4 linked regions of the Rhinolophus ferrumequinum genome follow. The protein of the gene in region 2 interacts with the protein of the main gene of each other region in a pairwise test. Links are inferred from orthologs where the notes say so. Each region holds a gene or a part of one and is shown on either strand. Other genes may lie near its edges. The genes, in order: LATS1, TFIP11, TRAF3IP3 and CFAP206.

Evidence for each region.
Region 1: the proteins of TFIP11 (region 2) and LATS1 interact in a two-hybrid assay, tested with the Homo sapiens proteins (2 studies listed by BioGRID and IntAct). The two-hybrid records come from large-scale screens. The link is inferred for Rhinolophus ferrumequinum from reciprocal best matches to the Homo sapiens genes TFIP11 and LATS1.
Region 3: the proteins of TFIP11 (region 2) and TRAF3IP3 interact in binary tests that used the Homo sapiens proteins (3 or more experiments, as listed by UniProt). The two-hybrid records come from large-scale screens. The link is inferred for Rhinolophus ferrumequinum from reciprocal best matches to the Homo sapiens genes TFIP11 and TRAF3IP3.
Region 4: the proteins of TFIP11 (region 2) and CFAP206 interact in binary tests that used the Homo sapiens proteins (3 or more experiments, as listed by UniProt). The two-hybrid records come from large-scale screens. The link is inferred for Rhinolophus ferrumequinum from reciprocal best matches to the Homo sapiens genes TFIP11 and CFAP206.

The regions. Positions count from the first base shown.
Region 1 is NC_046286.1:93,093,529-93,100,771, reverse strand, and holds the start of LATS1 (serine/threonine-protein kinase LATS1), read left to right. Parts: upstream 1-4,243; 5' UTR 4,244-5,328; intron 5,329-7,243. UniProt on the Homo sapiens protein: Negative regulator of YAP1 in the Hippo signaling pathway that plays a pivotal role in organ size control and tumor suppression by restricting proliferation and promoting apoptosis.
Region 2 is NC_046308.1:16,470,170-16,478,106, reverse strand, and holds the start of TFIP11 (tuftelin-interacting protein 11), read left to right. Parts: upstream 1-4,922; 5' UTR 4,923-5,007; intron 5,008-6,594; 5' UTR 6,595-6,603; coding exon 6,604-6,812; intron 6,813-7,937. UniProt on the Homo sapiens protein: Involved in pre-mRNA splicing, specifically in spliceosome disassembly during late-stage splicing events. Intron turnover seems to proceed through reactions in two lariat-intron associated complexes termed Intron Large (IL) and Intron Small (IS).
Region 3 is NC_046305.1:21,819,869-21,827,506, forward strand, and holds the start of TRAF3IP3 (TRAF3-interacting JNK-activating modulator), read right to left. Parts: upstream 3,021-7,638; 5' UTR 2,757-3,020; intron 2,433-2,756; 5' UTR 2,337-2,432; coding exon 2,258-2,336; intron 1-2,257. UniProt on the Homo sapiens protein: Adapter protein that plays essential roles in both innate and adaptive immunity. Plays a crucial role in the regulation of thymocyte development.
Region 4 is NC_046286.1:44,652,053-44,659,543, forward strand, and holds the start of CFAP206 (cilia- and flagella-associated protein 206), read left to right. Parts: upstream 1-4,490; 5' UTR 4,491-4,749; intron 4,750-5,945; 5' UTR 5,946-5,946; coding exon 5,947-6,054; intron 6,055-6,700; coding exon 6,701-6,784; intron 6,785-7,491. UniProt on the Homo sapiens protein: Essential for sperm motility and is involved in the regulation of the beating frequency of motile cilia on the epithelial cells of the respiratory tract. Required for the establishment of radial spokes in sperm flagella.

The sequences.
Region 1 (7,243 bases), on a different chromosome or scaffold from region 2:
GATTCTGGGCACCATATCTTCTGTAAAACTGTCTTAGCTGATTTTAACAATTCTGATACTTGTTCAGTTAGACTGCTGAACTAGTTGGACTTAAACCCGTAAATTATCAGACATGATACTCCTAAGCCATACTTCCCATATTCTTGAGTTAATGCACATGGTTTTGATCCTTTACTATAGGTCCATCTTTCCTGCTCCAAGAAGACAAATTTTATTTTTGTATAGAAAATAATTAGCCATCTCTTTTCAATCTTTTCTGTAAGAGCTAATTATTTTCAAAATTGCTCATCACGCTTTCTGCATTCTCATCCCACTGGTTAGGAGATAGGTTAAATGGACTAAAGTGCTTATGCCTACTCTTAAGAGTCCTCTCAATTACCAGTGATACATGAATCATTGGTATTTGGCTACAGTCACTGAAATATTTATAAACCAACCTAATTTATTGACATTCTGCCCCATTTATCTTGTTCACAAGGCTTACTGTGAGAAAACATCTATGCTGTAGCTATCATCCTATCAAAAAAATTGGCCTAATTTAAAAATTCCTTGTCCTTTGTGAAAATACCATAGTATTATGGAAATAACCTTTTAATAATCCATTCTAGATTCTTGTCCAAGAAGCATACTGAGTTCACCAGTGTACGGTGTTTATCAAGACTTCATTTAAGCTTACAGTATCAATGTCATATGTAGCTCAGACTAATTCGATGAAGCAGTAGCAGTGCTCTTGTTTTCCAGATGTGAAACCCAGGGAGATCTAAACTATGACACGCAACTATTTGAACTATTTCATTGACGTCATTCTTAACTACGATTAATTAAATGGCGGTGTAGAAGAACTAACAGCTACATCTGTGACTAGTCATCCTAGCATCAAAACAATTCCCAACAACGTTTCACTATACTAGAGGTGTACATGGAAGAAAAAAATGAAGGGATGGGCATGGTGAGAAGAGAGAAGTCGAATGACTAAAATCTAGCTGATCACTTAAATGTTTTTAATTAATGAAAAATAAACTAATGTTCAGTTCCAAACTGTCATGAGTGGACTTTGGGGGAAAGTAGCTGACAGACCAGCCTAACAAAGCCATCAGAAATGCATTCACTGTCAAAACAATTTTTGTGCAGGCCATGGCTATATGAAGTTAAACTGTAATACTAGAATATAAGAGACAAGATGGCATAAGTAGGTCAACACCGTGCCTGCTTCCTTCTGTGAACACATTAAAATTACAACTAAATTATAGAACACTCAACCTGCAGAACAATCTGAAGTCTGGCTGAACAGAAGTTTTATAACTAAGGATATAAAGAAGCCCGTGGAAACTGGTAGGAGGGGTGGAGATGTGGAACAGGCCCCACACCTGTATGTAGTGGTTGGGAATCAAAAGGGATATCACAGCTGTGAAGGTTCCCCCTGGAGAAGCAAGAGACCACAGCCCCACGCCGCCCTCCACAGCCCGAGTACTGTTGCCGGGAGGAGGAGCCTCCACAACATCTGGCTGTAGAAAACAATGGGGATTCCGACCATCTGGGTGGGATGTAAGTCTTCAGGAAACCCAGATTTCCTCTTAAATGGCCCTCACACAGACTCACTCACTCATAGGCACTTACCTTGGGCTCCAGAGGAGGGACAATGACTTGGGGGGCATCAGAGCCATACGGGGGGCAGAATGAGGTGTGTGGCCTCAGGGCAAGGGTTGAAGGACAGTCATTTTCCCTGTGAGGAGGCCTCCCGTGCCGCCAGAAGGCGGGTGCCATCTTTCCTGTATTGAGCCTGCCCCCTACAATTACAGCCAAATCTGAATCTGATTGGTCTCGTGAGCTCAGATGTAAAGTACAGCATAGGGAATATAGTCGATAATATGATAATAACTATGTATAGTGCCAGGTGGGTACTAGTCAGGAGGATCACTTCTTAAATTATATGAATGTCTAATCAATACGCTATACACCTGAGTTAATATAATATTGAAGGTGAACTGTAATTGGAAAATTTAAAAGGGGGAACGGTGAAAGGGTATAAGAGGTCCAAATTTCCAGTTATAAAACAAATAAGTCATGGAGATGTAATGTACAGCATAGGGAATATAGTTAATAATATTGTGATAGCGTGGTATGATGTCAGATGGGCTTATAATAGTGATCACTTCTTTAGGTATATAAATGTTGAATAACTATTGTGTACACCTGAAACTCTTATAATATTGTATGTTAGCTGTATTTTTAATACAAATCTTTTAAAAACACTAGTCTGTAAAATAATAGCTGCAACAAATCACAACAGTTTTTACCCCTGGATAGTATGGAATGAACTTAAATTTAAAATCTCTGCCATTCAGGTCCTATAAGCAATGATACACTAGTAACAATGAGCACACCTAGAAACCAGATTTGGTTTCTAATGCCCTTCTCCAGTAAAAGGAACCAGGGCTCCTTAAAGGGGTAGGATATACACAAGATAGCCTGAAGCATCTTGTAGTGCCAGAAAATAAGGAAGTTCTAAAAAAAATAAAAAGCCCACAATAATGGGAATATATCAAAGGGACACAGAAGCCAACCGGAAGAGCTCCCAATAACCAAGGTGGAACAATTTGATCAACAAAATAAATAAAATATCCAAAGTATAAATATCCATGAGTCCACATTGATATAAACGCTTGAATGAATGGGGGCGGAGACAAATCTCAGAATTCCAAATAATTTATGTAGATTCTCTGCCATCAAAGAGGCAGCAGAATACAGCACTCTTCTCCTTCGGTGTGGGCTGCTCATAGTCTAGAGCCTTCCCCTAAGATTGTATGAATTCTTGGGAGGGCTAATGCTGTCAGGGCTACCAATAGTCTCCAGACTTCTTCCGTGTGTGCTGCTCCTCCATTCCTCCATTCATCCGAGCATGAAATTTGGTCCCTACATAATGTTGGTAAAAATACAATGAAACCAAGAAATGCCACTTCCATGAAGCACTGAGGAGCTGAGAAAGCTGAAGCTGGATCAACGGTTTTCCATCACAGCAATACAAAGACCTTCAAATACAATGGCAGATATTGCCATTCTCAGATATCCAGCACCCCTAGTAAGCATTTCCCTGGTCTTTCACCTCCACCTCCACCTCCACCCCCACCTGCAGTCTCAGACCCTTTTCAAATCTTGTAGGTTAGTTCTCTCCTGATCACTCCTCTCCCTTCCCGGCCCTTTTGTCCCCCTACTTCACAGAAGTAAATCTCCTAGTCTTAGAAAGCACAATTCACAGAGCTCCTTGAATTATCTAGGAATTTTCCCGTACATGGTGGCCTGTGGAGCTACTCACCTTTATGCTTAGAGAGAATTGAGAAACTTCAGTGAGGAAGTTCAATGGGTTGGTGATAGAGATGATGACCCTCTGGAGGTAGGATGCTATTCCAGATACATAATCCTGGAAAGGGCAATCAGGACTGTGAATTTATTAGATTCAGATCATTTATATAATTTTGAGGCTGAAAGGGACCCTCGAGGTTACTTAGTTCTCCCATTGAAGCAAGTTATACCTAGGACTTTTAAGTGACCTTGGTTCATATTCTCTATTTCCTACAAACTCTGCTTGTGGAACAGAGTTTCAATCAAGTGCTCTTAGAATGTAATCTTTTTTTATTATTATTAATAGTTTCAGGTGTACAAAACAGTGTAATAGTTAGACATTTATACCCCACAAAGTGATAACCCCCTTCCCTAATCTACTACCCCTCTGACATCGTATATAGCTGTTACAGTTCCACTGACTCTATTCCTTATGCTGTACTCCACATCCTGTGACTATATATACATATATGTATTAAATTATAGTTGAGATTCATTATTATTCAGCTTCAGGTGTACACTGCAGTGGTCAGGCACCTCCACTGTCCATGAAGTGGTCTCCTTAATAAGACAAGTGTCCATCGGATACCCTATAAAATCTTTATGATATTATTAATTATATTCCCCAAACTGTCTTTCATATCCCTGTGGCCACCTTGTGGTTAATGACTGTGCTTTCTAATCCCCTCACCTTCTCCCTCATCCCCACCCCCTACCAGCTAGCAACCCTGTTTTTCCTCTATATCTCTGACACTGTTTCTGTTTGTTTTGTTCATTTATCTATTCTTTAGATTCCACATATAAGTGAGATCATATGGTATTTGTCTGTCTTCGTGTGGCTTATTTCACTTAACATAATGTTCTCTAGGTCCATCCATATCATTGCAAATGGTAATATTTAGAATGTAATCTTTTTAATAGAGGTTTTCATATTTGAACTTCTGGATACAGTAGCCAGTAACTAATTTAACATCAGAAAAAGAAGTCATTAAGTAAAAAAAAAATTAATAGACTCTAGTAGGAAAATAATGAACGGGGGTATTTGGAAATACCAACTGCATACATTTTCAAGAGGCAGAATTGGCCAAGGTGCTCTTTACAAACATCATAAACCCAATGATTCCATCCTAAATTTCCAATTCAATTTAACAAAAAACAAAACCTCTATTTCAGTCACCGTTATTACAGTTATCGCAATAGTGACTTTCTCTTCTACCGATTTGGTTGACAGATAAAAATCTTTAAACTCTGTTACTCTTTCTTGGTTCAAAATTATCTGGCTGACTCAGAAAATACTTAAAGTCACGGATTTACTGGGGGAAAGCGTGCTAAGCAAAAATCAATTTATTTCAAAGCTGCCAGAAATCCTGAACCTTTACGTCCACAGCGAAGTTTCAGAGAGCAAATCATTGCTGTTTCCTTCTGAGAATTAAGCTTCTTTGAGAGGCGCATCTTTATTCCATATCTGTCCATTGAAAGAGCTCACTTGAAAAAAAGACTGAAGTACATGCGTGGGCTTCAGCGGGCGAGAGCTTGGTCCCACGAACCGGGGCGAGTCACCTGGGCAGCGTGAGGCGGGGGCGACGCGGGGAGACGCTGGCGAACTCGCAGAGAGGGCAGCGGGTGGAGGGCAAGAGACCGCAGGCGGCGCTCTCCAGGCGGCCGGGCGGGCAGAAGCCCCCAGTCCTCGGGCCCCCGCGCAAGCGACGCCGGGAAATGCCCACATCCGGGAAACCTGCAGCGGAGTGCGGCGGCAGCGACACCGAGTGGAAGGCAAAATGGCGGCGGCGGCGGCGGCCTAGTGCTAAGGGGAGAGCCAGGTCCCCGCGACCCTCGCGACGGGCTGCGCTGGCCTGTGGCAGCCCCCCGGCCTCTCTCCCCGCCCTGCCCCACCGAGGATACTTGGGGTCCCTGGGAGGGACTCCGGCCGCCTTGGCGCCCGCCCTCCGGCCCGTGGCCGCTGTCCAGGAATCCCGCACTCCGTTGCTGGTAGGTCCGGGGCTAGCGTAACGGGTGGGGCGCATCTCTCCTTCGGAGGCCGAGTTGGCGGGGCGGTGGCCGCCGGGGCCCACGCCCATCCCGGCTGGCTGGGCTCCAGGGGCTGCTGCGACTGGCGGGCCGGCTCGGCCCGGTGCGGGCCTGAGTTGGCTGATTGCATGGACCTGAGAGGAGCCCTGCCCTGGGGAAGCGAGGGTTGGCCGTGCCGGGGGCTGGAGGAATAACCCCAGGCTTTGCGGCCTTGGAGGTGCAGGTTAAGCTGGAAAGAGCCTGCCTTGCTGAAGGCTTTGTGGCGACTGTCTGCCACCTCCATCCCCGTCCGCAGCACGCAGGGATCAACGGTGTTTAGGAAGGAAGGAAAGCGAAAGGTGGTTCTGAAGGAGAATTGCAGTGAAAGAGCTACAGTTCTTTGCAACCAGAGGGACCCGGTCGGTCCTGAATATACCTTGAAGAAATCCTAGGAATTTCTATGTACAGTCCACTGTAATGTTAGGTTACTGTTCATAGTTGGAAGGGGTGGGAGAGAGGGAGGGCTCTTTATGGAGTAGGAAGGAGTGTGTATATAAATACAGAAAATGAAGAAAGGAAAATTAAGGGAACATTATTTATTACAGCTTCAAGAAGAATTTGTATCTTAAAAAATGCCTCTCAGGTGACTTGATTTAACCCCATTCTCTGACTTTTTTAATTGAAAGTTATTTTTTAAAGGAACAAAATTTAATAGTTTGTCAACCCATATGTTAATATGACTTAAAATATATGTCATCACGTAGAAGTTATTCATAAACCTAGTAAGAAATATAGTCGCACACACAAATAATACTGTGCCACTCCAGTTTGGGAAGTGGATTTGAATGTCTGGAATCAGGAAGCTTGTCAGGGCTTTGTGGATTATTTATTGAAGATTTAAAATTTTTTATCAAATTTCCTCCATGAGGAAGAAAAGGTAAGAATATAATTGTTCGTTGTAATTACAATGAGTGTTCTCTGCTAAGATATCTACATTGTGATTTAACTAAGGTTATTTCTTTCCTTTAGTAAGTTGACAGACAGGTAAAATGGGCTAGTTGATTCCCTAAGGCAGTGGAGGAATTTGACTGATTTAACAGTAAAAGAAGTAGCATTGTGTTCCTCTGATCAGCTGCTACTGCAAGAAACTAGATCATGGTACATGCTGGAAAGGTGCAGTCTTTCTATGGCTAAATAGTTATTGAACATGCCATGCCACTCCCTAAAAGCAAATAAAAAATTTCTGCTACATTTTTTTGGGTATGATATCATCTGGATTTACTTCTGTAGTTTGAGTTTTTATTTTTTGGTTTTTGTTTTTAATGCTATTCCTTGATGTTTTATATAAATATGTATAGCCTTGGAACAGTTCCAATTCTGGTTATTTGGTTTTCACTTTAGATGTTAGGTTTAGATTAGTGGGGGATTTTTGTAGACCACAAAAGTTATTTAGTCATTGAGCAACATTTTTGTCACATAGACATGACAGTCATTTTTCAGCATGTAGATAAAATAACACTGATTGTCTTCACTTTTGATGAGTTAATTCTTAGAAAGCGAATTGAAGGATATATCATCATACAGAGATTCTTGATTATTGCTGTCTAAACAACTAAGACTGCTGCTAAGAAAGAAACAGTACATGTTACTGTTGCTATTCTCATAACTGATTTAGTCAGAGCGTTGAGACAGGCCATCTTTTTTATAAACCTAATTCAACCCAAGATAACACTCTGAAATGTGTTTTCCTAGGTTGGACAAGATATCAACAGTATTTCTTTGGATTTACTGACATTTGTTGTCATTTGATGAAAGTCTGAACTTTCAAAGAAATGTAGGTTTTGTCTGTTTAGTCTAACCAATTTCATTGTTCGTTCAAAGAATGAGTGAGTCCTGA
Region 2 (7,937 bases):
AAGTGGCCCCGACTCCATCGTAAGTCCTTCCACAAGTCTGGGTCATTCTAACCTAAACTTGTTTGTTTCTGTTGTTGCTGGTTTTTTAAATGGGCTGTTGGTTAATTTTTTTTATTTTGAAATAATTGTAGATATGACGTTGCAAAAGTAATACAAAGTTCCTTCTTGCAGTTTCCCCAGGGCCAACATCTGATAAAACTGTAGTCCGTACCAAAACCAGGAAACACAGTACAATGCTGTGGACTACAGACCACAGACCGTATTCAGTTTTCACCATTTTTTGCTTGTATTTACTGTGTTTCCCTGAAAATAAGACCTAGCTGGACTATCAGCTCTAATCCGTCTTTTGGAGCAAAAATTAATATAAGACCCAGTCTAATATAATATGATACCAGGTCTTATATTAACTTTTGCTCCAAAAGATTCATTAGAGCTGATTGTCCGGCTAGGTCTTATTTGGGGGGAAATGGTATTTGTGTGTGTGTATTTTCAGGATTTTTTTTCCTTCTTTCAGGGGCAGAATCTTCCATATATTGCCCCCAATGCACACAAAAACCCAGTCACATGTAAAAGCTCAATCTATTAATATAAAACAAAAATGGCTGTTCTGAAAAGGACCCCATCCCTGACCCAAGCTCCAGCTACTTCTTTTTGAAGCACTTTATCATACTCAAGGTTTTCCATTTATTTGCCTGGTAACTTGATTCAAGTTGGTCTTATTAGACTATACACTATGAGTTTGGGAACCATTATTTTTCATCGCTCACCATTTATGCCCATATCGTGCCTAGCATATGGCGGGCGTGGGAGTCAGCTCCCAAGGTGGCTCCCAGTGGTCCTTTCCTCCTGGTATGCACACCCCTTTTGAATGTTGTCCCTTCCCACGCTGAATAGAGTTCCAGGTTAATACAACATGGATGGTTAAACTTGAATTTCAGATCAAACGATGAATCATTTTTTCGTATTTTACAATACTTCATGGGACATACACTAAAATCTTATTCACTGCTTATCTGCAATTCAAATTGAACATGGCATCCTGTATTTTGATTTACTAAATCGGGCAACCCTATCAAATAGGACTCATCATGCAGCACGCCAGGTATTAGGGAAATGACAGTGTGTGACTTTGAAGACTAGATCATAAAAAAAGGTCATGTCTTCGGCCTTGTTCTCTCTGGATTCAACTCACTCTCAGGGAGACCGGTCGTTATGTCATGGGGATACTCAGCAGCCCTGTGTGGAGGTTTACATGGCAAGGAACTGAGGCCTCTGGCCCACAACCAGCACCAGCCTGCAGCCATGTATGTGGATCACCTTGGAAGTCGATCCTCCAGCTCCAGTCAGGCTGGCAGAGGACTGCAGCCCCAGCTGACATCGTGAATGCAACCCCAAGGAAGAAGTCAAGTCACAATGAGCCAGCGGAGCCGCTTTTGAATTTCTACCCAAAGAAATCGTGAGGTAATGTTCACTGTTGTTCCCAGCTGCTCAGTTTGAAGGCAATTGTTACATCGCAGTAGATGATACATAGGAATTCATTAAATATTTGTTAATGAGTGCCTCAGTGAATGAATGAATGAATGAATGAATGAAGAAGGCTGTGGCTCCTCATCTCAACCTGTGTGCTTTTGAGGATGCTTGCTTTACAAATAATGCCTTAGGCCTGCAGAACCTCATGTCCCAGCTTTCCACATAGGGATAGAGTGTTCGTAAGTTTTTGAAAGAGTAGAAACCATCTGTAAGAAACAGTGAAGGGAAACCAAATTTGCTAATCTCGGCAGATCTGGATTTTCAATTCAGGACACGAAATATATTTTTGTGACAAGATTCAAAATAAGAATAAGCCATGTGCAACTGTATAATGTCACTGTCCTAGAAAAGGTACTTGTGCTAGACTTTAAATATATCAGCTTTGAAATGCCACTTACAGATTGTTTCTATGGTATCAAACTATTTAAAGTGGTAACTGAGCAAGGATTTCCTCCCCCAAATCTTTTGAAGGCAGTATGGGAACTGTGCTGTATGTGACAGGCTGTATAAAGGCGTGATTAAGAGTGTAGACTCAGGTGATAATAGAAACTACCTTGGAAGGTTCAGGAACCTAAGAGGTGACATATGCAGAGGCTTTGTTTTTGTGACTTGAACAGACAGGAATCATTCTAGAGGTATTAACTCAAATAAATAGGAAGTGATAGCATGGGGGCCCCATGCATGGTATAGCAGGGAAAGCTCTGGCCTAGAAGTCTGAACTCCTGGGTTGCAGGCCTGGCTCTGTCCTTCAACTCGCTGTGTGGCCCTGGGCACATTCCTCGTGGCGTGGCCTCCTCCATCACCTCAGCTGTGAAAAGAGAGGGAAGGACTCATGAGTGTCCAAGGGTCCTGCCAGGCTCCTGCTAATGATCCTTGTTGCCTAGCAACCCCTTCTGGGAAGGCCACATGTCTCAATACCTCATTGGGAATCTACACTCGGGCCTGGATGTCCCTGAGTCCCAAAGCAAGGGTTTTTCTGGACAGTAACAGGAGACCAGGATAGATATGAGATCCTGAATCTAAACCTCTGGCTGCCTCTCTCCTTGCTTTCCCTGAGTCTGTGCATTTGAACCCAGAAATTCTGAAAAACCACTGACCTTTGAGGCTGAGAAACCTTCCTCACAAAGGTATGAGATTGGGTCTTTTGAATGAAAATAGCCCCAACCATGTACGAAGCTTTTACTACACCAGATTTACATATTTTAATTAGCACACTCCCCCACTCTTTTTTTTGTCCTGAAAACCACTCTTTTAGAGCCATACTGTCATTATCCCCATTTTACAGATAGGAAAACTGAGGTGCAGAGAGGTGAAGCAACCTGCTCCAGCTCTCAAAACTAGGAAGCAGCAAAAGGAGATTGGGATCCTTGAAGTTTTACTCCAGAATCTTCATTTTAAAAAAAATTCTAAGTACATAGAGAAAACATTTTTTTCTCTTAATCATTTGAGGTTAAGTTTCCTATTGCCCCCAAATACTTTAGTATTTCCAACAAACAAAGACATTCTCCAGTGTAATCACAGGACAACCATCAAAATCAGGAAATTAACGGGCACATCATGACCATGGAAACCTCAGATCCCATTTAAATTTTATCAGTTATGCCAATAACTTCCTTTATAGCAAAAAGATCCAGTTCATGGGATTGCATTTAATTGCCATGTCTCTTTAGACTCCTTCAGTCTGGAACGGTGACAGGGTCTTTCTTTGACTTTCACGACCTTGGCACTTTTGAAGATTACAGGCCGATTGTTTTGTAGAATGTCCCTTATTTGGGTTTGCCTGATCTAGCCTCGTGATTTGGTTTAGAGTATGCATCTTTGGCAGGAATATCACAGGAGCAATGCTGCGATCTTCTCGGGGCATCTTATCAAGTGGTAAGTGATTTCGATTGGTCCCATTCTTAAGGAAGCACACTCTGACCACTTCCTCAGAGCCTGCATTCTTAACGACCCCACAACGGTCCATTAAGGTCTCTTCTCCAGAGGCCACATGGTGGGGTCTATTCGGTGAAGCAAATCCATCAGTCCCTCATGATCAAAGTAACTGCAGCTCCAGAAAGTTGGCTGTAAAGCTATAGACATAGCTACAGAGAAGCCAAGCTGAGCTTACTTATATTTTTGGCTTTGGGCTATAAACAGATGCATACACATTTTCAGGCCCCGACTCAAAATGGTTTATCTCATCTCCATGTTTCCATCACTCTGCTCCTCAGTGGAACTTTAGTCTGTTAGACGCTCTCCCTCTGGCCTTCTCCTCTACTAAAACCACACTGTCCAGTTTCTTTCTTGAGTACATACTTCGTGTCAGGCACAATCACGCAACATGTCACTGAGGCTACAGAGACCATTACATCACAGTCCCCATTCCCAAAAAGCTGGCATTTAATTTACTTCATGTAGGTTCTCATTTACTTAATTACAACCCTGGGAGGTTAGACCCAAGTCTTTTGACTCTCAGTCCAGTGCTCTTTGTTCACTCCAATAACTGCCTCTTGGATCTTTCCATCGTAGGGAGGAGAGAGAACACAAGCAAACACTAACAGCTAACGCTTCCTAAGCACCTACTGTGTACCGAGTATAGTTTTAATTGCTTATCTTTTTTATCCATTGGATCTTCAACCATTTTGCGGAAAACTGAGGCTTAGATGTAATGACTTGCCCAAGGTCCACAGATGGAAAGTGGCAGAGCTGAGCTAGAACTCCAGGGCCCGTGTGCGCACACAGAGTCCTGAGCTGGTGAGGGATTCCCTGGGACTGGCCGGCGCTTGTCTTGTTCATTGTATCCTCTGAACTTAACATAATGTAGGCACTCAATGTATTTTTATTACATCAGCGAATGAATGAATGGATTTACCAACCTGTTGGAAAGAGAATGGAAAGATTTCCTGGAGGGAATACTTGGGACCTCTAGAGTTTACCCATTCAGTCCTTCACTCCCTCAAACTCCGAGATAAAAGGCAATGCTCTGTGTCCACAGGATGCTCATACTGAGACTCCAAAGACACAGGATACGGTCTTGACCTTCATTATTCCCGTATGAATGCCGTGTCCCCGCCCCTTAATGTCTCATAGGATCCCTCACAGCTATCCTATGAGCTAGTCCTATATCCCCATTTTACAGAATTAGAATTTCCGGCTGGCAAAGGAGCCCGCCAAGGAGGCTTGGCGACGTCCACACTAGTCATTACCGGCTGGGCGTCACCCCGAAGCGGGCACGGCAGGGAGGCTGACAGAGCCGGGATATCATCCCCTCGCCATTTGGGGCCCCGAATACCCGCGTCTCCTTTCTAGCATCTCAGCCCGGTTGCTTTAGCACCAAAGCCGCAGAAGCCTTCCGCTGCTGCCATGGCAACCAGCGCACCATTTCCGCTGTCGGACAACGTCATTTCCGGCGCGCCGGATCCGGCACATCCGGGTTCGCACTGTCTGAGCGTCGCGCGTCCCGACCCGGTCTTTGGGACCCTGGGCTCCGGCTAGGTGAGTCCGCCGGGGAGTGGCAGGGGACGGGGGAGCTCCGCAGCAGGGGGAGTGGGTGTGAGGCTGGGCGACGCACGCCTCGGCCTCGCGGGGGTGGCTGCCGTTTCGCAAACAGCTCTGCCGCGGCCGGGAGAGGGGCGGGCCCGCTCGGGGTTACCGGGAGTCGCGGCCTGGAGTGCGTGGGGAACCCACCTCCACCGCGAAGCCTGGCCGCGGGCTGCAGGCCCACCTGATGTCGAGCCGTGCCAGCTGGGGAACTTAGGGCAAGTTGTTTAATTTCTGATTTTTCTTATCTGAAGCATGGAGACGCTAATAGTACCAACCTCGTAGAAGTGTCTTCATGCTTGCATTAGATTGTTGGCTTTAAATGCCCGGCAGGTACTTAGCACCAGCTGAGGGCTCTTTAATTCGCGACAACTCTGTGATTATTACCATGCCCTGTGCTCAGGGAGACCGTGGTATTCTTGACTCGGGCACTCAGCAGTTTCCCTCCTTTGCACTCCTGGATGTGTTGGGTCCACTAGCACCGAACCGGTGCCCCAGTGAGTAGAAGCAGCAGGGAAAACTAACAAAGCTGAGCAGAGTTTGACACTGCCTGTAGAAGTAGTGAATTCCCTGACCCTGAAGTTTCCTTGCAGCAACTGGTAGAGAAGAATCACAGATGCTATCATATATTGAATGTATTACTGTGTAGTGCACCATGTTTCAAACTTCATGTGCCTGTAATTCTGATACACCGAGTACCTGGTAGAGGGGGGATTTGAACTTAGGCTGGGATTTTAGCACCTGATTTCACAATCACTTTGCTAGGTTCACTTCCTAGTCCAATGGTAGTGATGTTGATGAACGGAATCGTGGGCTACAGTAACAGCTATTGTTCCTTGAACACTTAGATTCTGAGTTACTGTATCGTCTCATTGACTCTGCCTGGCAAGCGTTCTCTAAGGTTGGCACGGTAGTTAATGCATTTAAGAGCAGAATCTCATCACTCAGCTACCAAGAACCGAATTTTCTGTTCCAGTCAATAGATGTTGAACTGTTAGGTAGTTCTTAATCACGACTGCCCTCCAGCTCATCAGATATTCATGTTTGGGAGGAAAACTAAGTGTTGGAGTCTCATCAAGTAATGTGTTTCAAAGCGTATTTTAAAGAAATCCCTTCCTGGGACTGCCAAAGGTCCAGATATAACTCTTTTCTCAACAATAGGAAAAAAAAGTAAAATGCGGATCTGGGATGAAGTCTGCACAATTTCTACGGCAATAATATATAGAATAACTTAATTATTTTTGTTTGGTTTGTGTGAGTGTGTATGAGAGAAGTTTTATGACAGTAGGACAAGGAAATACATGCTTAAGAATCACATAGACTGTTGGATGGACTAATCTTTTGTTCCACCTGTTTTAGGACTGATGGGTTTCCAAAACACATTTTTAATGTCTGCTTTTTTGAATTGTAACAATGATTTTAACAGACTCTGAGTTTGGAGGACGTTCTAAAGGTAGCAAGGCGCAGGAACTCAGAAAGAAGCCTTCTCTTGCTGCTCTCAGGACTTACCACAGACTGTGCCCTTTTTGTCTCTGCCGTTAGTGACTGGCCATGTCGCTGTCCCACCTGTATCGGGACGGGGAAGGCCACATGGATGACGATGAGTATGAGCGGGAGAACTTCGAGATCACTGATTGGGATCTGCAGAATGAGTTCAACCCCAACCGGCAGCGCCACTGGCAGACCAAGGAAGAGGCCATCTACGGAGTGTGGGCAGAGCGAGACTCGGATGAAGAGAGGCCCAGCTTTGGAGGCAAACGGTACTGGCTGGCCTGGGGCTGCTGCCCCTTGCTTTAGAGAAGGGGTAGGCTTCATGGGGGGGGAGTTGGGAAGATACCCCACTAAATATACTTCTCTCCCGGCCGTCCTGCGTCCCTTAGCTGTGACTTCAAGGAGGGAGGCCCTGTTTCCTCTTTAGGTTCGAGTGCTGTTCTTTCACTGACTTAGTCAGTCGTGTTTATTGAGCACGTGCGTAGGGCCTTATGCTATAAGCCTATCCTTGCTCAGAGCCCGGATCCTCGTGGATGGAGACAGGCATTCAACAGCTCACACAATGGAAGTTTGTAACTGTGATTTAGAACCTGAGGGAGAGCATGTTTTAGGGTGTTCTACCTGTTCTGGAAGGCCAGGGAAGACTTCTCTGGCGAAGTGACCCTTGAGCTGATAGAAAAATAGAAGGTAACAAAGGTGCTAGAGGCACGAGTATGTAAAGGCCCTTGCTGGGCGGCAACCGGGTACCCACAAGGATATGAATGACTTTGCAGAATGGAGCGGAGAGAGGGAGGGGAGCAGAGTGCAGCTTGAGAAGAGGCCTGTGGCTCTGTGTAGAGAGGGTGTGACATGGGGCAGGGTTACATTTAGTGACCTTTTGGCTGGTGTGCAGACCTTTCGGCATGGAGCCGCGGTGGACAGGAAGCTCTGTGAGGAGGCCGAGGCAACAGTCCCTGCAGAGGTGGCGGAGGCCTGGGCTAGGATGGTGGGAGGGAGGTGAGGACTGAGCCGAAAGTCTCCTCAATGTGAAGTCATGTGTACATGTGTGGGCTGCGACTTGCTCAGCCAGAGTGTGCAGCACGTTTGGGTTTGTCTCCCTGTCCCCATCCGTGGCCTGTAGGCTCCAGCCCACTGAGATTGTGCTTTTTTTCACAAAGGAGCCCGAGAATAGAGTACAGTTCAATCTCTTTTCGTCTGGCAAGGAAATCTAAAAGTGGATGGTAAATAGAGCAGGGGTCAAGAACTGCATAATTACAAGGCAGTAAGAGCAGCCAGCATATGTTGGCTGCTTCCTTGTGGGTTCTACACTTGCCTGGTCTCATTTACCTTCTGTTTGAGAAAGGCCCCGTTATCATCAGCCCATTTTACAGGTTAAGAAACTGAGGCCAAAGGCT
Region 3 (7,638 bases), on a different chromosome or scaffold from region 2:
TAATAACTCTCCAAACTGAGTGTTCCATTTTTTTGGAATCACCTCCATGTCAAAGCTAAGTATGGTGCCAATTCTGCTTTCCTTAGCCCACACACAGACTGTGCCATCAAAACCAGCAATCACACAAGTATACCTGGATAAGGCTATTGCGAACAAAAATGAAACAAAAACAAACAGAAACAGTAACCAAAAGTCCCTAGGCCTTCATGTAGAAGCCACACTTTGTGGCCCCTTTACATGACCTTACCTGCTACTCACATACCCCCAAATCCTTCTTCTTTCTCTGTGCCATTCTCTCTCTCTCCCTCACCTACCTTCTGCAAATTTGTTTATTCTCCTAAACCCTCTGATAGCTTGGCTGAGCTGGATCCTGAGCACTGGGAATTCTGTGCCCTGTCTCCACTCATCACTGGAGTGACTGGGCAGGAAGGGGGACTCCCCCTTACAGCTTCCGCTTCTCCTCTGGGTCCCACAACCTGACTACCCACTACCCTGGGAAACTTAGTTCCTGGGTGCGTCAGAGAAGGGTACCCCAGTGTCACCAGGAGCAGGCCTTAGCCAGCTGTGGCCCCTTGGGTTTATTTATAGGTAAGCAGACTCAACAGGCAGCCTCTGCCCCTTCATGGGCCTTCGCTGCCGGCTGGCTCCGTCCGGGCTTCTCTGCAGGACTCTTGCTCTCTCTGATCACACCACTCATTCCCCAGGGTCCTGGGCAGGGACGTCTCATTCCTGGAGAGTGGTCAAGCCCTGCACGCTCTCACCTGCCTGACTCGAGGCTTGGAGGGGCGTATTCTGGTCTTGGGCCGGGCTGACCTTGACCAAGCAGAGCTGTAAGGTGGTCAGTGCTTGTCCTGTGGTCCCATCCATGGATGGCTCTCCCTTCTTTCTAGGCTTTTTGCTCACTCTGTAGGGGTCCCCTGACTTCCCACCTGCCACTTTCTTTATTTAAAAACCTAGATAAGGATCTGAGGGGCCCTTTCATATTAAGTTATAAATGACTGGATGGCAGAGACTGGGATTATGTGCAAGTGAATTCCATGTCCAGAGTCTACACCATGGCATCCTGTGCCAGAGCCCTGGCTATTCTGCCATGGATGGGGAGGTGGGGGAGCCCTGGCTCTGGGCTCAAACCGTGTGACTTCATGTCCTGGCTCTGTCACCTACTCCCTATGTGCTAAGCCTCAGTGTTCTCATTTATAAAATGAGAATCTACCTCATGAGGTTATGAGGATTACAGAGAAAATGCACACCAAGTATCTGGCACAGCACACAATACATGTTAGCCTTCTGCAATGATAATAAAGGTAAGCTATGATTGTGACTAGCCCTGTCCTGCTGATCGCGGATCCTGAAGACTCAGTGCTATGAGACAAAGGCCCCAAAGTAACCTCGCACTCCTAGGACTGAGAATGCCCCATCCTCTAATCCCCCATCCCTTTTCTCTTTGAAGGGGTACTGTTTACCACAGGAGAAAATGCTGGCCCCGGGATGGAATCGTATTTACTACTCTGGTTCACCTGACCTCTGGGTTTGGGCCACAAGAGAAAAGACTTCTCTGCTTCTGGACACAACCAACTTCTCCATTAGGCCTGGTAGAAAGGCAGAGAAGAGATGGGTGCCCAGCCTGCCTGCATCCGCCATTAAATGTGGGGTGCCCACCCTGCTTGGCTCCAGGTAATCAGCAGGCTTTGTAGAGGAGGCAGATCCCTGCTTCTGGAGAATCCTCCTACCGTCCTACTGTGTAGAGGGAAGGGCCATGGGGAGGAGATAGAGAGGTCTGTGCACCTTACCAGGCTGTCTGTACTGGTCTGCTGAAACACACGCTGCCCTGCTCTGCTTCCTGAGAGGCAGATGTTGGGGCTTCTTACCCAAGTAGGGCGTTGCAGTCGAAATGGTTCCTTAGAGAAGGGAGCATTCCTCCCCCACCCAGGGCCTCACCCTGGTCAATTTGGTGTGGACAGCTGAGGGGACTCATACCCAGCCTTCTGGGACATCTGGACTATTCTGTTCTGATTTGCTTAAACATAAGAGGCCATGGAGGACAGCTGACGGACAGGGAGGGGCTAAAGAAGAAAAAGGAACTGGTCCCTCTCTGATTCACCGAAAGGTCACTGGGCCACTGCCCGGGCTTTCTGGCATCTGTGGGGTGCCCCTTGGCAGCCTGACAGGGCCCAGTTGGAGCTCGGGGGAGATGAGGCACTGGCTGTGGGAAGCTCTCCTCACTGCCAGAGGGAGATATCAGCGCACTGCCCTTCACCTGACAGTGGTTCGTTGCTGCCTCTCCAAGTCTCTGCTCCTCCTTCCTGGCTCTGTGTGCAGTGAATGGCTTCCTGCATGGACTAGGCCTTCCTAGTCCAGAGCTCTCAGTGTGAGCTTAGAAAGGTGTACACCTCAGGGGCTGGAAAGGCAGCTTCTTGTTTTGGGGATCCCTGCTTTGAAGGGAAATGGAAAAGGTCATTAAATGAAGCCCCTGTCACTGGGTAGCCTGAAACCTGTCATCTGATTCACTCTAATTTAATCTAACAGGTGGAGCAGAGGAGCAGTGGAAGCTCTACCGCTGTGCTGTGGCCAGTGGCTCTGGAAACCAACACAGGATGCTTTCTTGGTTATCGAACACCCAACACGCTTAAACTACACCATCCTCTCTTGTGTCTTCCCCTTCAGCCCAAGGAAGCTTGGATGACAGACAGTCTTCTGTCCCACCCCAGAGTCAGAGGCCCCCAACTTGGACAAAAAACATCTTCCTTCTCCGTTACCTCAGGTCTCGGGCTCCAACCCAAGCAGCTCAGGAAAGCCTTCCAGCTCCTGGGAAAATCTTGGTTCTGGTCTCAGATGGGGCAAGACAGTAGCTGAGTAAAGTGCAAGCTCTCAGTCCATGGCTTTGTGCCCCCTTAGCATTTCCCTTCTCGGTACTGTGTTTCTTTTCACACAGAAGCTTTGCTGAAACAGGAAGCAGACAAAGCCACAATGCTTGCTCACCCCAGTTCCTCTCTCTTGCTCTCTGGCACAATCTGAGTGGGCCCCTGAACCTTTGAGGCCCCCAGGGCTGGGCTCGGGAACTCCTCCCATCAGCAGGCACCCTGGGCACACTTCTCTTACTATTGTATTGGTCTGAACTTTCGGACAGTTTCTTTTCTTTTATTGAGCTCTTAGACAATTTCGAGTCAAGATCCCTTTTCAGGAGTAGACAAGGATGGGTCTCTACGTCAGATTCAAACTTTGCAGTTTCTATGAGGTGGAAAAATGCCTTTTTGACCTAAAAACGATGTTCCTAGTGTAATTCTTTCATGTATATCAGGTAGCTCTCTGTGTAAGGATTTTCTCTTTAGTTACCTCTTCCCAGTCCTGGTGTTGTAAAGAGTCTCTGCTCTTCTGAAGTACCTGGTGTCTTTTTTTAAAATTCTGGAATGAGGTCAACTCTGAATTTGTTCTTTTCTGAAGTGGCGGGGTGGGGGTGTGTTTGAAAAGGTGGTAGATCTGTGGCTGGGGGATGAAGGGAGCAATAGTAGGCAGAATCTTATAAAAATTCCCTAGTCAATTGGACTGGGAAATTTAGGGGAAAAACTAAATGGAACTGATCTGTGTCCGTTAGAAAGCAACTATTATAAATAATATAGTCAGGACATTTCCCAGAAGTTCAAGGATAAGATGGTGGAAAGGGAACTGGATTGGGACAAGTTACCTGAATCACTCTGTGACCTTGTACAAATCACCTTGTCTGAATGGTCCACTCAGTATGGTGGTTGCATGATTTATATGGTACCTGTGAGTTCTAAGGCTTGACACATGTGAGGCTCATAATAAGATGTTTAAATAGCTATGATAACACTTATTAACATGGGGATTATGTCAATGTCTTCTCCATTGCCTACTATTTGCCCCATTCTCTGAGGAGGAAAAGGACAAGGAGTAGGCAGGCAGAAGTGCAGAGGATGGATTTTTAAGCACTAGAGACAGTAGCCCAAGGTCCTGTCTCTGGGGCTTAAAATATGGAGATGGGAGTGAGTAAAGGACAGAGGGGCTGGGGAGCCCAAGCTGGCAGAATAAGAAAATTTTATTGTGATAGAAGAATGAGACGTTTTGGGAGTTTTGGGTAATGGAGCATAGGAGAGGACTGGAGATTGTAACAGAAATTCCTGTGGACCAATTATGTGGGCTCCATTAAAAATAGAAAAGAAATGTATGTGAAAATCAAAATCCATTTTAGGACTATGCACTACACCCACATTTACTGGGGTTCAGAGAGGTTAGCAGTATGTTCAAGTTCATGCAGTTTTGCTTGACATCAAAGCCTGAGCTAAGGTTGTATACTTATCTATCAACATGGAGGGAAAGAAAGAGAAACACACACACATGGGGGCAGAGAGAGAGAGAGACAGAGAGAGAGAAAGCGCCCTGGAAATAGAGAATATACCTTATTTTCAAATGCCTATGAAGCATCAAGAAAATTGATCATATGTAGACCAATGGAATAGAATTGAGAACCCAGAAATAAAACCACATAAATATGGACAGATAATTTTTGACAAAGAAGCAAAAAACATACAATGGAGAAAAGACAGCCTCTTCAATAAATGGTGCTGGCAGAATTGGATAGCCACGTGCAAAAGAATGAAACTGGACTGTTATCTGTCACCATGTACCAAAATTAATTCAAAATGGATAAAAGACTTAAGCATAGACCTGAAACAACAAACTGCATAGAAGAAAACATAGGTACTAAACTTATGGGCCTTGGGTTCAAAGAGCGTTTTATGAATTTGACTCCAAAGACAAGGGAAATAAAACCTAAAATAAATGAATGGGACTATTATCAAATTTAAAAGCTTCTGCACAGCAAAAGAAACCATCGACAAAATAAAGAGGCAACCAACTGAATGGGAGAAGATTTTTGCAAACAGTGCCTCTGATAAGGGGCTAATATCCAAAATATACAAGGAACTCATGCAACTCAACAACAAAAAAAACACAAACAACCCAATTGAAAAATGGGCAGAGGACCTGAAGAGACATTTCTCCAAAGAGGACATACAAATGGCAAATAGACATGAAAAAATGCTCCACATCACTAATCAACAGAGAAATGCAAATAAAAACCACAATGAGATATCACCTCACCCCCGTTAGAATGGCTATCATCAACTGGACAAATAGTAACAAGAGTTGGAGAGGCTGTGGAGAAAAAGGAACCCTCACACACTGTTGGTGGGAATGCAGACTGGTGCAGCCGCTATGGAAGGCGGTGTGGAGGTTCCTCAAAAAATTATGAATAGAATTACCTTATGACCCAGCAATCCCTTTCCTGGGTATCTACCCAAAAACTCTGAAAACATTTATCCATAAAGACACGTGTGCTCCAATGTTCATTGCAGCTTTATTTACAGTGGCCAAGACATGGAAACAATTAAAATGTCCTTCGATACATGAATGGATAAAGAAGTTGTGGTATATATACGCAATGCAATACTATTCGGCAGTAAGAAAAGATGAAAGAGGACCATTTGTGACAACATGGATGGATCTTGAGATTATAATGCTAAGTGAAATAAGTCAGACGGAAAAAGCAGAGAACCATATGATTTCACTGATATGTGGTATATAAACCAAAAACTACTAAAGGACAAGACAAACAAATGAGAAACAAAAACTCATAGACACAGACAATAGTTTAGTGGTTACCAGAGGGTAAGGGGGGACGGGGGTGGGAGATGAGGTTAAAGGGGATCAAATATATGGTGATGGAAGGAGAACTGACTCTGGGTGATGAACACACAATGGGATTTATAGATGATGTAATACAGAATTGTACACCTGAAATCTATGTAACTTTACTAACAATTGTCACCCCAATAAACTTTAATTTAAAAAAAAAAAGAAAATTGATCATATTGATCATAAAGCAAACCTCAGAATATTAAAAAGAAGTTGCTCTCTTATGGTATAATTCTCTGACCACAGTACAACACAATTAGAAATAAATAACAAAAATGGGAATAAATAAACCCTTCAACTTCTTGGAGAAAAATTCTCCTGGTTCACTCTTAAAATACAGAGGAAACTAAATCTGAAATTTAGAGTGCCTTGAAAATAACGCTAAAGAGAACAGTAAGGACAAAATCTATGAAGTGTGGCCAAGGCAGGGCCCAAGGAAAATTCATAGCCTTAAATATTTTCATTACTAAATAAGGATTAAAAATAAATTAGCTATTTATTTTCAAACAAATTTCTAAGAAATGGTCAGAAAAATCAAGGAAAGGAAGTAAGAATAAAAAGAAGGCAAAAGGAGAAAACAATATAAGTTACAAGTCAGAGCAGAATTGGTGAATAAATTCAGGAGCTGGTTCTTGTTTGTGCATGTGCAGAGAGGTAGAAATACCAATAGAACACAAAATTAATAAACTACCAGGTAGCTAAAGCAATTAAAAAACAGAAAGCACTTCTGTAAAAATTTATTAATGAGATGTGGAAAATACATGTTTCATACATAATACATTGGAAATGTAAATAACTTTAGAGACATTTGCGTAACTATGCTAGTGGTTTGAAAATCTGGATAAAAAGGATTTAAGAAAACTCTCATTTATCAAATTACCATATCATTTTTGATACGATCAAAATCATTTATCATATCTCTAAATTGCATGTAGAGATATGCAATTTAATCATCAACCTGCCTCTACCTAAGAGTCCCCTTCCTATGGTATGGGTCAGTACAGAGGAGGGTTTAGATTAGTCTTGAGCTGGTCACCTGGCACTTACTGGCCAGAATTCTGTGCTTCTCCTCACCATTTCCAGTCTTTTTGTTGGTGGTCATATCCTGGAAATTCATGACATGGTTTCCTTGATAGGTGTTGGGCCCTCTATGGGTTCCTATGAAGGGGTAAATATAGGGTAAGCGACAATTTGCTTTGTAACCCTGTTGCTTTACTCTTCACAGTATCACACAAGCATGGATGGGATGATCAGATTTTATTGTAGGGTTGAGGTAACTAGAGGGAATCCTAAATATGAAAGGCAAAATTTAAAACTGTATGCTAATATGTCTCCTGCTATAACATAAGACACAGCACTAAGAATTTGAACCCTTTATGGGTGCTACTAGTATTAATTTTATTCCTCTTCCTACCTAACGGGATGACTCCTTATCCATCTTATGGGAAATGGCAACCTTGCCCATAAGAGTTGTTCTTGCCTTAGACTCCTCCCTTATACTCCCTGCACAGTTGTCTCATCAATGCACTCCTCAAGTCTAATTATTCATTCTAGAACGCCACAGACACTCTTAACAGGATGCCCATGGAGGCCTGTTGGCACCCTAAGATTTGAAGAGGTAGAAGGGGTGGGTGGTGAGGGGAAATTGCAGAGTGGCTCAGGGTAGGCACACTTAAATCTGTTCCTTTTCAAGGCTTCCCCCAACGAGTGACTTGCAAACTCTCCTTGTTAGTCTTCTAAGTGTCTAGCTTGTAACTATTTAGTCAGGTGTCCACACAAACACCCCAAGCACAAGTATTCATTCTCAGGGGTGCTACAGTCAATTAATAAGGTTGTCATACTTATCCATCCACGGGGAAGGAGGAAGATAAGTATTTCCTTCTCTCCTACATTTGCAAGTTTGCCTCTCTGGAGGACCTTTTAGTA
Region 4 (7,491 bases), on a different chromosome or scaffold from region 2:
ACCTAGAACTTTCTCAAACGCTTAAAAGAGTTTTCTTCAAATTTTAAATACCAATTAGAGCAATAAGACTAAGATGGCTCTGTGACTGAGCTGTGTGGTCTTAGGCTGGTCTCTGATGCTCTCTGAATCTTGAATCTGTATAATAAAATGACAATAGTTCACTCTCTTGTGAGGCTGTTATAAGGAAGAGCCATTTGTTATTATTGGTGTAATAACTGTAAACTCTACTCTTCCAGATGTTAATTATACATCTCTGTTTAATGGAAACTTTCTTAGTAAGGTTGTTATAATATCTAAAGAACTGCTAAATCGCTTTCCTGGATCAAAGCTGGTTTAAAAGCCCCAGTCTATCATAACAACTGGTCTGACAACACCCTAATTCCAGACTAAGCCAACCATCTACTCTTCTCACCTGCTCCTGAGCTATATACTGAACAATTTCTAATGAAAGTCACTTAGCTTGGCAGATTGTTTTTACTTTATATTCATGATTGTAACAGTCAGGTGAGCATTCATACTTCTCAGTTATGAACTGAAAATTTCTATTAAGCATAGTTTTCTGCTCTCCTAGAAGACTATTTCCTATTATTTTCTCTCCAAGATTACCCACAGTTCCACTCCTGAGCATGATGGAATAGCAAGGACTGGACTTAACTGCCTGCCACAAACAACCAGAAAACTGGACAAAATATAGTATAAAACAACTATTTCCAGAAATTGGGAAAATAGCACAGGACTGAGATAAAGGTCAATGACAGAAAAGGTTGATTGCTCCAATTTTCTGCTTGGAGGCAATTTCCAGGTCACAGGAAAGTAAACCCAAATAGAGTTCAGAGACCTAGCCTAGTTGAGGAGACAGAGATCACCATTCCCAGAGGCTGAGGGAGCTGGAATTTGAAGGGCAGAGTTTTGGGAAGCAGAGAGCAATGAAGAAAAAGATTCCCATAAATCTGAGTCTTTGCTAAGTACTTGGCTGTGCATACGTAGACTGAAATTACACACAAACCAGCAAAGAACCAGCAGGGAGTTGTAAGCTAAACAATTCCCAGAACTCACAGAGATGGGCAGACATTCGAGCTCTGAGCAGCCAGAATTGCTTCCACTGGTTTTCCAGTGCAAAGCTCTGAGCAATCATTACTTAGAGTAGGGCCAAATTATCCCTGGAGTGAAGACTACTCTAGACTCATCTTAGTAAAGTTTGAAAACATCCCTCAATGGAATAATTTAAATGCCTGAAAAAAAACAAAATTCAACACTCATTAAAGGGAGACAAAAAATTTATTCACTCAACAAGAATAACATTCACACTGTCCAACATTCAACAAAAAATTGTAAACATGTTAAAATGCTCAATTCATTTGTTCTTAAGACATCAGGGAAAAGAAATATATATTCCCCTCCCTTTAGAAATGTGATAGTCCCTGACATCTTTAAGTTGCTTAGTCATAGAAATTAAGTCTACAACATTCTTGAAGATAATCCTTTAGCTTTTAGATGAAAACATTCAATAAAATGGTGCTTATGTCCTCTAGTATGACTTCTATCACAATTAGTCAGCTCTATTTATTTATTTTATGTTAAGTTAAACCCACTACTGTATGTAGATTTGTAATCTGGTGTTCTGAAGCAATATAAAGTTTGCTTTCTAACAAAACTGAGAGTAATTCTCTCATGCTACCTTTTCTCAAGGTCAGCATACCCAATTCCTTCCCCGCCTTTTTTTTCTGACAAGGTTGTTCTAATCATTCTCTGGAGATACTTTAGTTCCTACATGTTTCTTTTTAAATTTCTGCCATGTTACAACTAGGAAAATTAGTTCTGCAAAGACTGGAAGTTCAATTAAGTCATGTGAATATGAAATATATTTTCATACTTGATTTTGTCAATAATAGTAATAAAGGTAATAATAATATATAAAATTTATCAATCCTTGTAACTATGCCAGACAGTATGCTAAGTGCTTTATAAGTATTACCTCATTTTATTCTTACAACTCTATTAGATGCTTTTATCTCTTTTACAAATGAGAAATTTTGACCATTGAAAGGTTTACAGATGAACTAGAACCATAATAATACTGTATAATAAGCTACCCCAAAACCCCAAAACTTAGTGGTTTAAACAATGTTCATTTATTATCACACATCTAGAGGTTGTCTGGAGTTAGGCTGATGGAGGTCAGGCCCTGTTGGACAGCTCTGCATCTCACTAAAAAGTGGTTCAGGCAATTCTGCTCTATATGACTTTCATTCTTCTCCTGGGACCAAAGACCTAGCCAGGTGTGTTCTTCTCATGCCAATGACACATCCTCAAGAGGGGAAGCACAAATGTGGTGGGGTCGCTTAACACCTTAGCTCTGAACTTGGCATAATGTCATTGGCCAAAGCAAGTTATATAGCTAAACTCAAAGTCAAAGGATGAGGAAGGATACTCAACATAAGTCCATGGCAAGGGAATGCATGCAAGGAGACGGGAAGAATTAGGGCCAATAATTCAGTGTAGTACAAAAGGCTAAATAATATTTCCAAAGTCATACCTATTGTAATTAGCAGTTAGGGATTGAATTTGGCTGAATGTAGCAGAAAACCTAAATAATAATGGCTTAATAAGATAGAGATTTATTTTCTCTGATGTTAGGGGAAATCCGGAAGTAACCAGTCAAGAAGACTGATATGGTTGCTCTGTGATATCATCAGGAACTGAGGCTCCTTTTTAGATATTTGTTCTACCATCGTTATCTTCATGTTCACAATAAGGCTACTGGGACTTCGGCCAGCACATTTTTATTTTAAGTACACAGAAAAGGGAAGGAGATATAAAATGAAAGGGCTCTTTTTCTGACACCCCATCAAGTGATTCCACTTACATCTCATTGGTCGGTACCAGGTCACAGGCCATCCCTAGCTGAAAGAGGGGTTGAGATACATTTTCTTTTTCTTTTTCCCCCAGCAGATAATATTGTCATTCATGACATAATCTGGATTAGTAAGGAAGAAGAGAATTGATTTTAGGTATGAAATTAGTATCAGACACACCCAGGAAGTATTTGTGCCAGGATTTGCCCATTAGTTAAAATTATATTTAACAGGATGGCATTACTCTTACCATCTTAAAAATATTTGATATTCTAATTTATAAGTAATATATACTCATGAAAGAATTTTGCTAGATATTTTAAAGCATAAATAAGAAAACAGCCATGAACTCATTGCCTAGATACAACCATTGTTAAAATTTTGCTATATCACTTTCTTTTTGGTTATTTGGTCTTGTATATTTACATTTTCCAAGTTGGGCTCATTCTCTACGTGTAGCTAGCCCCCTCTCTCCATTATGTTTTCTTTATTTTGTTTTATAGATAAGACAGTATATACTCATTATAGAAAATATCAGAAAAGCATAAAAATTCATAACCACACTCAAATAAGTAATAAACAAATAAACAAAGTAAATAATAACTTACCCTTACTTAGATCCAAACACAACAAATGATATTGATAAATTGACTTATGCACTTTTAATATATATGTGTGTATATGAATATGGTTGAGGTCATACTTCTATAAAATTTGCATTTGGCTTTTTAAAAATACAAGACAAAAATTTAAGATTTTTGTTCACATTATTTGTAATGCCTAATATCTCACTTTAATCAACATTTTTTAAATATCAGATGTGTAGAATTCTAATGTTTTACTATTACGTATCTTGCTACTCTAAAAATCTAATTTTGCACAAGCTTCATCCACATTCCAGGAAAATTTTCTAGAAGGGGAAAATAAATCATTTTATACTATGACTTGCGTATTTTTGTGTAAACTTATTTTCTAGTAATCTGGGAATATCCTGAAGCAAAGTATATTCAGTATATTTTTTTGAAATTTGAGAAAAATTACTGGCAGTGGCCTGTTTAAAAATAAAACTTTGCTTGATGCTCTGCTTCTAATATCAGTTTGATCCTATTATATACTGTCATGTCAGTCGCGGGCCTAACGAACATTAATGCTAAAGTACAAAACCTCAATATGTCAACTCCTGACTAGTATGTGTCATTATTCCTGTGCTCTTGGACCATCCTGTTACGGACTTCCTTTGACAACAGCACAAAAAATTAAACTGCGGTCCTTTTCACTTTTGTTTTTTTAATACTAGATACTTTCATATGAACTCCATTTCTCAACGATACAACCTCTCCGGACTGGCTCCTGCCTCCCCAAGACCCTCCTTTTTTCAAACGCCTGTAGGTTCCCACGCTAGCAAGTTAATACTCTTGTTTAAGAAATCTTGTATTTGTCACTCTTAACCTTGAGGTGTAGTGAACCTGTTCTTCTCTGCCTGGGGTTTAAGCCTTTGTGTTTTTGTTTGGTTTTTAAAGTTCTTCCCGCGCATCCTTCGGGGAGAGACTCACAAGGTTGGCCCCGCCCACACCATGGCCCCACCCCCTTCGGTCTCTAGCGTTCGATCTCTATGGTTACGCGTCCGCCGCGGAGAGCGCCCAGCTGCCCTGAAGGCGGGAGCAAAGACCCCGGAGTAGGTCGGAGAGACACAACTCTTCTTCTCGATTCCGCCAATGTCAGCCCATTCGGGGCTCCACGCCCTTGAACTGGAGGTGTACCCCACGAAAAGGCGAGCGTGGGGCGATCCGGTCTAGCCTGGTCGAGTTTTAACTGTCAGTCAGGACTCCTCCCGCCGCGCGACCGCCGAGCCGGAACACTTGTCACTTGGGTTTGGAGGCGCCCCGCTTCGCAGGTCAGACCTCTAATTCACCTTCCTGACACTGCTCCGCGGCGCTCGCACCCCCACGGGCCAGAATTTCGGAGATTTAGTGCTTCACAGAGTGGGGAAGGGAAGGTACTGAGGGGCGTCAGTAACCACCCAATGCGAGGAGCCTGACAGCGCTCGCGCACGCGCACACAAAGACACGGACATGCGCACAAACGCGCGGCTAACACTACTTGTTACAAGCTGCTATTTTAAGAACTTTCTTTATGCCATGTAGTATTTTAACCACTAAATATAAAACTCAGTCCTCGCAACGACTCAGAGAAGGGGGGTAGTAATCGTATCTGTGTTTTCAGATAAGGAAACCGCCTCACAGAGAAGCGAAGCACATGCCCAAGGTCTCAGCTAGAAAATGGTGGGGTCACAATGGATGACAGGCAGTCTGGTTCTAATGGACAAAATGGCAAGTGCTTACCTTGCCTGAACTCTGTTAATGCTGAGAGTTAGCGTTATCTACGTGGAATTGCCTTTGTTGTTCTCTACACGCTAAGTTCCCCTGTGCTCAGCTACTGATACTCAGGAAAATCAGGCAACTCCATAACCATTAAAACCTACCACCTTATCTTGGTTTATAGTAAATGGAATAACCAGGAGTTCGTTTTTTTTTCCATGACGCATAACTCTCATAGTATGTTTTTCTTTTTGTTTTTACGTTTTTAATGAAGAGCCCAAACTCCAACTTGGATATGCAGGAAAGAGAATTTAGATGATCTGAGCAAGAATTCTTTTCCAAGACTCCTATAGTATGAAAGGTCATTTAGTAAATGTGGAATAGCATTTCCTCTTTCAAGCTGTTCTCTGCCACCTATACAGATGGGATAGAGTTTCTTGTTAATTCTATTACCACACCCCCATACTGTTTAGCCTTTATTTTAATTAAAAAATATCATGATATAATGTACTTTTGGTAATCGCCATTATTTAAATAAAGAGGAAATGTTTCAATCGTTTGAAGTCCCACTTGCTCTCTACCTCAATAAAGCCCTTAATATTGATAAATATAAAACTAACCAATGAAAACATGAGGGGGCGCCTCAATGCTAAGTACTAAAGTTAATAAATAATATTATGACTTTACAAATGAAATAGTGGAGAAATCTAAAGAAGGAAAAATAATATGTAAATACAGTTTGAAAAACACAATCATTGTTTTATTTTGTTAGAATGCCTCCCACTCAGGCAGAAAGTGTTATAAAGAATATCATTCGAGAAATAGGACAAGAATGTGCAGCCCATGGAGAGATTGTTTCTGAAACTCTGGTTGCTTTTATGGTAAGAATGAATATTTTTGTGAATTAGTGCTTTATTAAAATATGTTAAGCAGTGCCCATTTTCCTCTTAAAATTCTTTAATGCTTTCCTAAATGTTATTCAGTTGAAAACATCGATATCTTTGGACCAGTTAGCAAAAAAAAATATTTTTTAAAAGTCTATAAAGCATGTCAGTTCTAGATTTGTAGAGAGTGATTTACAAGATCTTGATGAGTTTTAGAAACATCAGTAATGTCCTGTATTGGAGTTTTTACATCTATTTTTTTTTCACATCTATTTTTACATCTATGTTAAACATCTGTTTTGTTTACTGTTGTAAAAATTACTAATTACATTGGTATCTCGATTTTGGCTTTTGATTTAACAATACACAATAATATTCAAATAGTTTACCAATCTAAAATCTAGCCATTGCTTTTAACATGTTTCTCCATATAATTTTTCTAGCACATATTCAAATTTGATGTTTACTGCTTCCTTTCTTCAACCTCTAATGAAGGTGTTGATGAGCTGGGTAATAAGAAAGTCAGCTGAATCATCAACCCCTGAGTAATCAAGAGACAGTTACTTAAAAAATGAAAACATATTAAACTAATTTCATAATAATATGAAATAAAATTATTTAATGGACTCTTTCCTACTCTCAGGTGAAAGCTGTTGTACTGGATCCAAGTAATGGCTTTAACATGGATAGAACCCTCATAAAAAGTGATGTGCAGAAACTTGTTAAGGTGATTATCCAACAATTCTCAAATTTTGAAACATTTATTTGCAATTCTAAATACAGCATGTATGTTAGCCATTATTCCTTTCAGCTCCATGAAACAAAAACCCACCAAATGGTGGTGCAAACAAATAAGGGATTGATTTTTTTCTCATAAAACAAAGTCCAGAGGTTCATAGGCTGTTTCTCCTGGCTTCCTGGGTCACTGTGGTGCATATGGATTTCATCCTATGGTAGCATGATCGCGTTTCACCTTGAGGCAGGTATGGGGAGGGGGACCAGCTGGGCCTCTCACTTTCTATCCCTCCCATCTGCTTAGGTTTAGTGACCAGAATGATATTGCAAGTAAGCTTGGGACATTGATTTTTTTTTTCTTCTTTTTTAATTGAACACACCTTTGCCCTAATCCAAAATGGGGCTTTGCTAATAAGGAAGAAGGGGTGTGATACTGGCTGGTAGCAGTGTTGGCCACAGTATTTTAGAGACATCTTGTTATTAAACTAATGTACATTGCGAACATTTTTAACTGACTGGTCATATACTCTAAAGTTACATAGTACTACATTAAAATTCATATAATTATTGCTTCAGCGTAATTTCTATTGTTCTATTCTGAAGGAAAAATTGAAGCCGAAGTAAAATAATTCATAGTTAGAAATCAAGTAGATGTGCCTGAAAACCAGTTTGAAGAACTAGAGAAGGCAGGAACTTTCG